2 linked regions of the Caenorhabditis elegans genome follow. The protein of the gene in region 1 interacts with the protein of each later gene in a pairwise test. Each region holds a gene or a part of one and is shown in the gene's direction. Other genes may lie near its edges. The genes, in order: pid-1 and erh-2.

What was found.
Region 2: the proteins of pid-1 (region 1) and erh-2 interact in binary tests that used the Caenorhabditis elegans proteins (3 or more experiments, as listed by UniProt).

The regions. Positions count from the first base shown.
Region 1 is NC_003280.10:7,687,702-7,694,587, reverse strand, and holds pid-1 (Protein pid-1), read left to right. Parts: upstream 1-4,031; 5' UTR 4,032-4,084; coding exon 4,085-4,138; intron 4,139-4,188; coding exon 4,189-4,299; intron 4,300-4,345; coding exon 4,346-4,458; intron 4,459-4,503; coding exon 4,504-4,570; intron 4,571-4,617; coding exon 4,618-4,782; 3' UTR 4,783-4,898; downstream 4,899-6,886. Other genes in the region: nhx-2 (Na(+)/H(+) exchanger protein 2), read left to right, coding at 641-833, 1,139-1,405, 1,657-1,790, 1,839-2,164, 2,392-2,665, 2,717-2,860, 3,035-3,124, 3,168-3,335 and 2 more; F18A1.1 (Receptor L-domain domain-containing protein), read right to left, coding at 4,899-5,932, 5,978-6,377, 6,540-6,886. UniProt on the Caenorhabditis elegans protein: Component of the pid-1 variant of the PETISCO complex which is required for the biogenesis of a class of 21 nucleotide PIWI-interacting RNAs (piRNAs) that possess a uracil residue at the 5'-end (also called 21U-RNAs).
Region 2 is NC_003281.10:4,587,770-4,594,428, forward strand, and holds erh-2 (Enhancer of rudimentary homolog 2), read left to right. Parts: upstream 1-5,461; 5' UTR 5,462-5,463; coding exon 5,464-5,563; intron 5,564-5,607; coding exon 5,608-5,732; intron 5,733-5,779; coding exon 5,780-5,896; 3' UTR 5,897-6,058; downstream 6,059-6,659. Other genes in the region: smc-4 (Structural maintenance of chromosomes protein 4), read left to right, coding at 1-5, 50-364, 413-586, 628-920, 967-1,711, 1,760-2,017, 2,063-2,497, 2,547-2,754 and 6 more; apc-11 (Anaphase-promoting complex subunit 11), read right to left, coding at 6,153-6,389, 6,439-6,510, 6,555-6,653.

The DNA.
Region 1 (6,886 bases):
GCGAAAAAAATAGTATATTGGGAATATTTATAGTATTGCAACTTTTCTCTTAGTTCGCAGAGTTGCAATACTACTAGATCCCTAATAGAGGAAATATGGTGACCAGCTTTTTGCAATTGGAAAGTTGGGAAAAAAGTATATATATTAATAGACTTACACTCTTGTAGTTCGTAGAATTTTTCAGGAAATCTGACACGCAAGACTTTTTCAAAAAGTTTTTTTTTTTAATTTGGCAATCTGCCAAAACGTTTACTGAACATTTTGAAAACATCTACCAGTACCTTTAACACAACGAAAAATTGTTCTAAGCAATATTAACTGTGATAATTGATGTTAAGACCTGAAATTTAATCACAAATTTCACCTGGAAATGACAGTAATCGGCTTCTAAATACTGTCGACACAAGTGCCATACCTAAGATTCCAATCCTATTACCATGTTTCCCAATTTCATTCTCTTTCGTATCTCTATTTCTCTTCTTTATTATCAATTACTTTTTATCAGTTCTTCGTTTGCTTTAACATCAAGAGCACATAGCGCTCTCTCGTCTCTCTCTCATGCTCTTTTTGAACTTTTACAAAAAACTATTTCCGGTTGTTTTGATTCTTGGAATTTGAAATAATTTTCAGTGATTAAATCATGTCTCTTCTCCGGAGGCCTTGGGTGCTCGTCGTTGGACTTTTATTGATTATGAGCTATGTTGGAGCAGAATGTGAAGAAGAAGAAAAAGAATATCCATCTAGATATCCAATTGCTTATTTTGAATGGGAGAATGTCAAGATTCCAATGACTATTTGTTTATGGTTGATTGGAGCATCGATTGCGAAAATTAGTACGTAGCTGCCACTTTGGGATGCTCAGGAAATTAAACTGCTAATTGAATCAGGGAATTGAAGAGTTGACACTTAAAAAGACTTGTTTCGATAATTGGCATTTTCGGTCTATCATAAATTAAATATAATCTTACAAAGAATATATGTTTTGAGATCAAAATTATTCTGAAAAATTGTAAATCTGTTTGTTTGATAATCAACTTTCCAAGTCTTTCGAAGAAAACTTGAATGTCCTGGAAGAAAAAGAATAAACAATAGTTATTACAATATTAAAAAGACAGTCTAAAAATTGTCAATTTTTCAGTTTTCAACTTGATTCCACATCTCAATGAACTTTTCCCGGATTCCGCGTTACTCATCATGATTGGTTTAATTATTGGAATCATTTTCAAATTGATCGGAGTCAATAAAAATGCATTTTTCCTGGAAAGTGAAGTATTCATGCTTTATCTACTTCCGCCACTTGTTTTTGATGCCGGATACTTTATGCCTGCAAGACAGTTTTTCGATAATTTTGGATCAATTCTTTGTTTTGCAATGATTGGAACTTCATTCAATATTGTCGCAATTGGTTAGTTTTAATATTTTCACAACTAATATATTTATGTACAAAGTAAAACAACATGACTATGAATTTTCAAACTCCAATTAAAAATAATGATAATTTTGTAGCTTGTAACTTCAAAAATAGTAACCTCAAAGGACATTAGCAATTTTAGTGATAAGATAACAATTTGAAATAGTCTAGAAAAGTTTTGAATATCTTTGAAACCGTTATGCCTAGTTAAAGATAAATTTGGAAATAAATCTAATAATTTACAGCTCTCTCCTTATGGGCCATCAGTTTGACTGGATTATTCTCAGTTGAAACTCCACTTATGCATATGCTTCTCTTCGGTTCAGTTGCTGCTGATGTAGATCCAGTTGCTGTAATTGTCATTTTCGAGGAATTGAAAGTGAGACAGTCTCCCAAATTTCTCTGATAACAAAGTCAAAGTTTACAGGTCAACGAAGTTCTTTTTATTGCCGTGTTCGGAGAATCTCTATTGAACGACGGAGTTGCTGTTGTACTTTATCGAATGTTCTTGACCTTCTCTGAAATTGGAACTGAGAATCTGATAACATCTGATTATATCAATGGAGGTGTTTCTTTCCTGGTTGTTGCATTTGGTGGAATTGGAATTGGTCTTCTTTTTGCATTTTTGACAAGTCTTGTTACAAGATTTGCTAGAGATGAAGAGGTCAAAGTGCTCAATTCTGTATTTATTCTCATTCTTCCGTACACTTGTTATCTTTGTGGAGAACTTTTCGGTCTTTCAAGTATTATGGCGTAAGTTAATTTATTTCAGAATTTCTTTTTTATATTGAAACTTTAGCCCTACTCATATTTTCATATTAAATTTTGTATTAAAAATCGGAATTTTAAAATGTAAACTTAAGGTCTAGAGATTGAAGATACTAATATGAAAAGTTTTGGCAAAAACCGTAATTCTCTTCCAGAGCTGTAAAACTGAAACAAAATATAACTAGAACTAATTTTCAATAAAATTTTTGCAGAATTGTATTTTGTGGTGCTGCCATGCGTCAGTACTGCCGTGAAAATGTGGACCCAGACACGGTAAAAGCCACAGAATCATTCATCAAAGTGCTTTCTCTTGCATCGGAAACAGTTATCTTTGTCTTTTTGGGACTCTCAACAGTATCCTCAAACCATCACTGGGACACATCTTTCATCGTTCTTACTGTAGTTTTCTGCTTGATCTACCGTACCCTTGGAGTTGTTGTTATGTGCTATTTCTTGAATAAGTATCGTCTGAATAAGTACACAAAGGTGAGAATTAATTTGTGTTATTTGATAAAAAAAAGTATATGTTTCATACAGGTAGACCAATTTATCATGGCTTATGGAGGTCTTCGTGGTGCCATTGCATACGGTCTTGTCGTTGCAATTCCAGATTTTATACCCGGAAAGAATATGTTTGTCACCAGTTGTATCATTGTCATCTACTTCACTGTATTCCTCCAGGTATCTTTTTAAACAATCTAGCTATATTTTATACCCGTGATGTTTTTAAAAAACATACCTTACTATTACTTTTCAGCATTTCATTTACATAGCCTTCTAATGTGCCTAGTTAAATTTTGAAAAAAAATCTGGATTATTTCCAATACTTCTAAAATAGATTTTTAACATTTTCAGGGAATTACACTGAAACCAATTGCCGAATTCCTACAAGTTGAGAAAAAGAATGTTCACTCAAAGAACATGATTGAGCATATTTACAGCGAAGTGAGTTTTCAGAACCAAAATTCCAGTGAAATGAAAATTATAGCTTATCGACACGACTATGGCTGGAATGGAAGACATTGCCGGTTTCAAGGGGCATCATTGGATTCGTGATTCGTGGAATGCACTCAACAATAATTATTTGAGACCAATTTTAGTTAATAAGAACAATATGAAGGAGATGGATAAGACTAAATTGGTCAGAAAGTACAAGGTATGGTAATACGCTTAATGATATTGTTATTCATAATTAATTTACAGCATTTGGTTGATGAAGATGCAAAGAAGATTGCACGTGGAGATTTAAATAGTAATATGGTATTTACAAAAGCTCTTATTGAACATACAAGAAGTCGAACAAATACAATGATGTAAGTTTCTTCAAACTTCTGAAATCAATTATTCCAAATACTTTCAGCGATGGAGTAAGTTCGACTAGTAAAATAGATTTCACCAAACACATGAAAGAGAATTTTGGAGTAACAGTCTATGATGATCATAGTACTGTACCTATGACACCAACTCATTTATTCCAAGAAACAACTGAAGTTGAATATTCGGTTCGGAGCGAAATCAACGACAATGATGGATTTGAAAACGATGGGTATGAATCGGACGAATCAGGAAGCTTCCACGAAAGAGTATAGGTTTTTTACCTTAATTTACAATTTCTTTCTGTTTTAAACTAGTCTCAAATAGGTAGACTGTGTTTTCTCAATAATGTACATTCATCGAATGAAATTTCTTTTTTTTCTGCATCTATATTCTCATATATTTTGTTAACGTTAATTAACAAGCTAAAAAAAAAGATTTTTACAAGTTTTTTAATTGCGCGCTACCGTAACAAGTTTTTTCGCTTCGAGACCCATGCCTTCAAAATGGACATGTGTCTTTAAAACTTACAGTAACGGTGTTAAAATTATTGCACACAATTTCTTCGGCTGACATTCGAATTTTCCAATTATGTCGGCTAAAAGGGAGTTTTCGCATATTACTTTGGCATCCACACCATTTAAAGTGAGTTTTATCATTTTTTCAGAATTAATAACAATAAAACTTTTTTTCAGAAAAGAATCGATCAGAATTCGTTAAAAACCGACTCGGATATTGAAAAAGACACAAATATCGCACACAAATGCGCTGAACGGTTCAACTACAATACAAATCTTCACAGAAAAGTAATAATCTATTAATGTTGATGACGAAAGCTTTTTTTAATTTTAGGTGACGTTGAGCGATCGTTTCGAGTTGGCAGCCCTTGGATACGAAATGAAAGCAAAGCCGAGAACAATCATCGAAAAACATAATGACTGCGACGAGTTTCATTTTATCTATAGGTTTGTGAAGTACCCACATATTATAACAAATGTTTTAATTTTCAGAAAAGAAAAGAAGAATGATTATGGAACTGGCTCACCACTTTCAGCCGGATTGAGCCTATCTAATCCGGTAAGAAATAAATATTAAATTCACGCATAAAATTATATCATTTTCAGTTGCCAGCTGGACGTGGATTCCTCTCTCCAGCGATTCAGAATACCAGCAACCAGTTCACCTTTTCTGGAAGTCCAAGAATTACCCCCCAGAAGCACACCCCAGTATCGGCCAATCACAAGCCAGCCAGATCCATTTTCGACGACATTCCTTCGAATATTGCATAAGTTTTCACTGTTAATTTACTGTTTTTACTGTTTCATCTTGTTTTGAGTTTATAAAAATGATGTTTCGTTGAATTCAAAAATTTTATAAATTACATTTTAAAAATAACGACATAAAGTTAAAGTTCTCGATCTTCAGTTCCACTCTCATCCGAAGACCTCCAGTTCATCGTTTCTATTTTCACTTTCACAAACATTTCCGAGTTATCAACACCAGCATTCAGTCTATAATCTTCTTCTAGATTAACTGGCTTATCGTAGATGTTAAAGCTTTTTCCTTTTCCATATGTCGTGATCGCCGTCTCTCGTAATTGTTGTTTCCTTTTAGCCCAGGCAATCCACTTCTCCTTTTCACGTTCACTCAAATGATTTTCCAGTTGAACCAGAAGCTCTTCGAATTTGTTCGTGTCCGTGATAATTTCGTTCGGCTCAATAATTTTCCTTTTCTCCATTATTTCCAAAATCATCAGAATTCGATCTTCTTCGTCACCTTCTGCATCGTCAATTATTTCTTTGATCGCTTTATGAACTGCTTCAAAATACTCCAATTCTCGTTCATCAGCTTTTCTTGCCTCAAGTGCCATGTTCTTCGTTCTTCCTTTCCATTTTGTTTCTCCTAAACCAGTCAGTACTGCAATCGGAAGACCTTCTTTTTCATATTTTCCTTGATCTTCATTCATCTCTTTTGCATTCTTTCTTGACTCTTTTCTTCTCAACCAACTTTGTCCTGAGAACTCACTATCCGATTCGTTCTTTTGAATGGATCTCGTCAATGCTCCAAGCTTCCGTCTCCAATTAATTGTTTTTCGATTTGCTCGGTATTCTTTCATTTCCTTTTTCCTTTTTTCTCCCATCACATCCCGTCCATCCAGACGATTTTTAACCAGAATTCTCCTCTTCCACGTCATCACATCAGGTTCTTCATCTGAAGATTTTTCGTCCAAATAAGCTGTTGGGTCAGTTTTGAGATGAATGTCCAATTCTTTTATTTTTCTCCATCGAGTGAAATTCAGGGATTTCAGGAAGATGATCACAACATCTATCATCACATAGCAAACAAATATCAAAATTGACGCCAATACACAGAGGCTCACAATTATTTCCACGAATGTGCATTTTTCTTCGTATTCTTCAAATAAAGTGTCCATTTCAACTGAAACGAATAACCTATTCATTTGATTTTTGAATTTAAACTTACTGTTGGCGCAGTCAGAATATATATGCTTCATCTTGAAAGCTTGTACCACTTTACGAAGTTTTTGAACTTCCCAGCATAGTTGAGGCGTTCTAATCATCCGAATCTTTCCATTAACAGCTCGCAGCGATAATGAAGTTCTTCTCAGATATGGATTGTTTTCAAATATGAGATCACCATCAATGTATTTCAGATTTTTGATTAATTCACAGAAGTCTGATCTTAAATTTTTGATGATCACATTCCCAAGAACTCGTTTCACTTTTCGAAGTCCCGATGCCATTCTCAATACACCACCAGCACTTCCATCAATTACAAGATCTCCTTCCACAACTTCACAATCGTCGAGTTGATGGGATAATTCGGGCCAAACCACCAAATTTTCCAGAATACCCAACGCATTCTGAAAGCCAAATACATATGTATAAATTTATACAATATTCTAAAACTCAATTCTTACTTTTTCCAATTCTATTGATAGCTATGTCATTTAGGTCATCGTGCTCCTGCTGAAATTATTTATTATCAGCAATTTATGAGAGACTTTCAAAAAGATTTAACTAACCATCCACTCAGATTCTGAATATCTTGGAAGTCTTTTCTTATCACCAACAACGGCTACAAATTTCAAACATTGATCGTCTTTTTTCTTCATCTTTAGTAGCTCCACATGTTCAAATTTCTGATTGTATCCATCTATTCTTACAGCTGACAACCTTCTCCTATCAGTTTCATTCCACACGGGGCCACATTCAACTTCTTCTAGACGCGGAAAACTATCCAAATTGGAAACAGTAGAAGTATCATGGATCCAAAGTTGACCATCTTGAATTTTACGAATCGAATTATATTTGCAAAGGCTCTTTTGTTCTGGTGATCCAGTAATTTCAACTGTTCCTCGGTGTAACTGAC
Region 2 (6,659 bases), on another chromosome or scaffold:
CATTGGTATGTTACTCTGTTTTTAATATTAAAGTCATTACATTTTACAGCAACTGCCATCGCGACCCGATTTCCTTACAAAACCGAATCGGGCGGATCGTTTGATGATTCGCAATGTTGAAGTGGACAATTTCAAGAGTTACTTCGGCAAGGCTTCCATTGGACCATTTCACAAAAGTTTCACATCAATTATCGGTCCAAATGGATCTGGAAAGTCTAATTTAATCGATTCGCTCTTATTCGTTTTCGGTTTCCGTGCTTCCAAAATTCGTTCTGCAAAAGTGTCAAATTTGATTCACAAAAGTGCTGGAAGAAATCCAGACAAATGCACAGTCACTATTCATTTTCAGCGGATCGTCGATATTGTAAGTGAATCAGAGAATCTAATAAAATATAAATTTGCTTTTTTTCAGCCTGGGCATTACGAAGTCGTCAAGGATTCTGAGTTCACAATCTCTAGAACTGCTTTTCAAAATAACTCAAGCTCATATGCTATCGATGGTCGACCGGCAACGAAGAATGAAGTTGAAGCACGCCTACGACGCGTTGACATTGATATTGAGCATAATCGTTTTCTAATTCTTCAGGTAAAAGTGACAATAAAACCGGTAATAAACATTTTTTTCAGGGAGAAGTCGAACAAATTGCAATGATGAAACCAGTGAAAACCACCAAAAGTGAAACTGGAATGGTTGAATATTTGGAGGATATTATCGGAACAAACCGACTCGAGCCCTTTGTTAAATTATTCCAGCGACGCGTCAATCGTCTTACTTGTGATCTTTCTCAACAAAGAATCGCTCGTGATCACGCCAGAAACAGCAAAGTAGCTATGGAGAATCCAGTTAGAGCTGCAATTGAGTTTCTGATGAAAGAAAACGAGGCTACAACGATTCATATGAAATTGGAGCAAAGAAGACGGTAGTTCTGAAATATTCCAGGTTAAAATAACATTTAACGTTTTAAGGCAACGATACCTAGATAAAATTGCTCCAAAACAAGCCGAACTTGACAAGATGAAAGAAGAAATGAAATCGATTGCTGAAACGCTGGATACCAACAAAAACGAATACAAACAATCTGAGGAAGCTCAGAAAGTTATGATTGAAGAGCGTTCGAAACTCGACAAAAACTTTGATAGTCTATCTAAGGAATTGAGCGACTTGGGCACTGAAGAGACTCGCAGGAAGGAGGCTTTGAAAAGGCATCAAGCTAATATTTCAAAGGCGGAAGCTGAGAAGGAAAAAGAGGTTAAAAAGCGATCAAATCTGGAAGCAGCACCCGAAAAGGCGGAGAGAAAAATCGCAAAATGTCAGGAAGAAGTGGAACAGTTGCTTGAAATAGAGAAAACAGCTAACGAGGAAGCCGACAAGAATCTTGATGAATTTGAAAAACGCTCTGAAGCGCCAAAAGAAGAACAAAAGAAGATTCAAGAGACTTGGGCGCAGAAGAGCAACGAATTTAACAAAGTTCGAGGTGAAGCAAGGATTGCACGGGAAGATTTCGAGGATTTAAAGAAGCTCGCGAATTCTGGAACGGATAAGCTTATCGAACTGAAGAAACGATTAGAATCTTCAGAAGAAAGTTATGCGAAAGAGAAGGATGAGTTAGATAAGCTGAAGCCGGAATTTGATTCTTGGAATGATAAGTTAAAACAACTGAGTACAGAATTGCCAACTCTTCGAAATACGGCAAGACAGAAGAATCAAGATGTAGGTTTTCAAAAAGCCTGATAAATTTAAATAAATCCTATTTTACAGTTGGCAAAAACGCGTGATCGTCTCGAAACTCTTCGCCAGCAAAACTCGTCTTGCTCAAGTTCGAATAAAGTTATTCAAGCCTTAATGAAGGAAAAAGAAGCTGGAAGAATTAAAAGTTTTCACGGTCGTCTTGGTGATCTCGGTGTCATTGATCCGAAATATGAGGGAGCGATTTGCACAAATTTCGGGGCCCGTCTCAACTATCTTATTGTAGGGAAAGAAGAAGATGCAAAAAATGTCATCAATTTTTTAGTTGCTGTAAGTTTTATAACCCTCATTTTCTAGGAATACATTGGTTTTCAGAATAAATTACCTCGACAAACTGTTCAGCCATTGGACAAAATTAAGTGTGATAAGAGAGATTTAGCTCCCAATCCGACGAACCCATTACCTGCTCCTCGTCTTATTGATCTGATTGATTGTGATCCTGTTCTTAAACCAGCATTCTATGATATGGTGCGTAGTGCAATTGTGGGCGATTCTACCCAGGAAGCTCAGCGAATGCATAGAATGCCCGCTTGTCGTGGTGTTACCGTGTGCACACTAGAAGGTTCTATGATTCACCCATCTGGATCATTCACAGGAGGTGGAAAAACAGTGAAAGGTCTCATTCTCACGGATAAAAATAAGATGGCTAAACAAGTGACACCTGAAGATAAAGCCGCTGAACGAGATTTAGCTGAAAAACTTGGAAAATTGAGAGATGAAGCTGATGAACTTAAAGGACAAGAGCATGAAGTAAGATATTAAAGGATAAAAATATAAAATATAACAAACCGATTTTTAGATGGACGGACAGCTAATCGAAGCACGTCGCAAAGTCGCTGAAATGAGTAATCGTTTGTCTATTGTGACTTCTTCAGTTCAATCTGCAGCTCCAGCAATTGAAACCCTCAAGAAAACGATCGCAAATCAAGAAAAAGAAGCAGCGAAAGTTAAGGTGGATGCGAAGACATTAGAAGATAAACAGAAGATTGTTGAGGAGCTCGAAAAAAGTAATTTTCCGTCATATCATCATGATTTGGGTAATATATTTCATTTCAGAACGAGATGAGTTGGGCGAAGAAGCTGCGAAAGTAAAAGCTCGTCAAGCTGAAATTCAGAGTAAGCTTGACGGAATCTTCAAGGAACTTGTACAATGTCATCGAGACGAAGCCAAAGAGTCTCTTCAGAAACGTCAAAAACTTGAGAAGGATATCGCCAAAGAAACTGCAAATATTTCCAATTCGGGCAGAAACATTGCAAAGTGCGATGAGAACATTTCCAGACACGATAAAGACATTGAGAAGATGAAGAAAAAGTGCGAAGAATTGATGGAGAAAGCAATCGATGATGAGGAAGTGAAATCGAAGAAAGAAACGGTTGAGCGCTTTGAAAAGCAAATCAAGAAGTTACAGACAAAAGGAGAGGAAATGACGAAGAAACAATCGGAATTGTCAGCTGCAGAGACGAAATTGGAGGGAGAATTGAAAAAGTGCAGTGAGGGAATAAAGGAGTTGAAGGAAAGTATGTTGGCAGATCGATTAAAGGTTGAGGATATTGAAAAGAAGGTTTGTTATTAATAAAAATCTATTAAATTAAATGTTCTTTTTTTACAGCTCGCTGCTTTGAAAGTTAATCGAATCCCACGATTCCAATTTCTCATCGAATCAAGTCGGCCAGAAGATCTCGAAATGCAAATCGATGATAAAATGCCGGTGGTTGATGAAAATCAGAGTCCAGAAGAAGTTGAACGACAAAAGAAGCATATGGCCTGCGTGATGAGTGACGCCGCGTACGCTCTCGAGTTCGAAATGCGACAGAAAGTGTTGGAAAACACTGAATCGTATGAGAATGTCGACGGAGAGGACCGGGTACCGGTCGAGCTTCTGTCCGACGAGAAAATCAACGAGATTTCGAGCCGAGACGCTGAAGAAATGCAAATGAAGCTGAAAGTGTGTGAACAACAAGTGGAAGCATTGAAAGCTAAAGTTGATATCTCATCGATTAAAGCTTATGTTGATAAGGTCAAGCAATACAATGAACAAGTGATCAAGTTGACAATAGCCACAGAAGTACATCGAAAACATAATCAAGAACTTCAACGAATCAAGCAGATGCGACTTGAAGAATTCCATGTAAGAAATCAGACGTTGATAGGTTTCTGATTAATTTTTAAAAAATATTTCAGTCTGCATTCGAATTCATTGGAAAACATTTGGTTGCCGTTTTCAAAATGCTAACTGACGGAGGAGATGCCAAATTGGAATACATTGATAAAGACGATCCATTCCGACAAGGAATCAGTTTTATGGTTCGCCCAGCGAAGAAAGCTTGGAAGCAAATTCAATTCCTTTCGGGTGGAGAGAAGACATTGTCCTCATTGGCTCTCATTTTTGCGCTCCACATGTTCAGGTACTAAATACTTTCTTTAATAATTATTATAATCCCTCGTTTAGACCTACTCCATTCTACGTTATGGACGAAATCGATGCTGCTCTCGACTATCGTAACGTTTCGATTATTGCCCAATACGTCCGACAAAAGACTGAAAACGCGCAGTTTATTATTATTTCTTTGAGAAATAATATGTTTGAACTCGCCAATCGTCTCGTTGGTATCTATAAAGTTGATGGGTGTACTCGTAATGTAGCCATTGATCCATTGAGAGTTTGTGAGATGGCGAAGCAAATTACGGACAGTTTGGGGCAGGCCACGTGTACTCTTCCTGATGAAGTAACTCAACGATTCAATGAGACAATGAGTCGGCAGAATAAGGAAATGATTGCACAAGAAAAACAATATCCGAACTTCCCATCATCAAATGAGATTTCAAAGGCCGAAAAGATTGTTAACGTTGAAGGACGTGTCAGGAAAGAATTGATTCAAACTACCCGAGATGTCACTTCAAGACCACAATCCAAAGCAACGACAAGTGGCGATGGAACTGAAAGACCGGCTAGTCGGTCAGCAAGTCGACCCGAATCTCGTATAAATCGTAAGACCAATGGCGTATTTATTATGAAAATGAAACAACTTATTTTTAGAAATGAAATATCCTGCTCCACGCCTTGTCGAAAGATCGTCGTCACAGAATGTTCGTAGCCCGAGAAAGGCACGAAACATAGAGGCCGATGAGGTTAGTTTCATTAAAAAATTTGAGACTCATTTTATTTCCCATTTTCAGACTACTCCACCTTCAAAGCGTTCAAATTCCGCAAGTACACCAAAACGATCTCCAATGAAACCGTTGACACCGTCGAGTAAAAAGAAGGAGAAGGCAATCGTTGATGACGATGATGATATGGAATAATTCATTCAAAAAAGTTCTATCCTCTTTTGTTTTGACGGGTATTAGTTCTCTGATCCCTCGACTCTTCCGTTTATTATTATTTTAAACTCGCGCAAATGATACTCATGTGCAATTCTTTAACCTCTCCCTGTTCAAGAAATCTCTCCCTTTTCCTTTTTATTTATTCTTATTCTCAATTATATTTAATTTGAGGGCCAAAGTTTGAGCCATTTTGCGTTGTATTTTTTTTTCGGCTCCAAACTGTAATTTAATGATATAATTGAGCTATGTGTCTTTTCGTTTGAAATAAGAACGTTTATCGGTGAAGCGTTGACTAGTATATCCCTCATGGTTAATCTGATTCAGATTTCCATTTTCACTATTTATTTTGTGGATTTTCACTGTAACTCGTGTTATGCATGTAATTTCAGATATGTCTACTTCTTCACATACCGTACTTCTGATTCAAACATCACCACGTCTTGATTCACGGACTTGGGGAGATTATGAGAGTGTAACTGACGCTCTTGATGGTAACCATTCCGTGAGAATTATTATGTTTAATGGAATTTTTCAGCTCTTTGCAAGATGTTTGAAGATTTCCTTTCCAAGAAATCAGCTGCTCCAGTCACATACGACGTGTCGCAAGTCTACGAGTTTCTCGATAAGCTCTCCGATGTTTCTATGATGATCTTCAATCGCGTATGTATTATTGATCTGCATATCCTCCCAAATCAATTCATTTTCAGGAAACCGGGCAATACATTGGTCGTACACGTGCATGGATCAAACAACAAGTCTACGAGATGATGCGTGGTCGTTGTCAGCATCCGGAAGGTGGAGAGAAAGTCATTGTTGGGTATTGATTACATTGGAAATATTATTCTCATCTCGCTCTGATCTTCATGTGCTCGCCGGTCTTTTATTTCTTCTTCCTTTTCAATGATTCTTGCTCAATTTACAATTCGATTTCAATTGCGATATTTTTATACTTTCTGATGAATTTCTCACTATGAATATTTCAATTTAAAAAGTCTTCGTTCTTGTTAATTTAAAATACAAATGAGGAAAACTGAGTATCATTTGACATGAAAAAATGGAAACACAAGATAAAAACGTAGATTACTCTACAATTGTCCAGTCTTGTCTGCAAAGCGGGCATTGAGCTCTTGGTTGGTTAGTTGGTGCTGCAATCCACTTATCGATGCAATGACGATGAAAAGCATGGCGACAAATTCCCAGAACCAATGGGCAATCATCTCCTGGAAACTTGCACATGTTGCACGCCGATTCAAATTCCATTCGACAAATTCCACAGGTATCTTCACCTCCTTGTAACCACTTCCACTCTCCACAAACCTGAAAAATGTCAAGTTTTTGAAACTTCAATTTTTTTTGACAAACTAACATGTAACTTTTTGACGGTAATGCTCATCCGAGTGTTGGTTTTTAATAGAATCCCTGGATGATCATCCTGCATCTGAAAACCGAAATATGATACGAATTATTTCTTATATGTCTTACAGTATGAAGTTCAGAACTGCTCATCGACATATTTTGTTGATCATCGTTTCCCTGTGATTCATCATTTTCCTGTTCGTCCATTTGAATTTGTTGCTCCATTTCTAT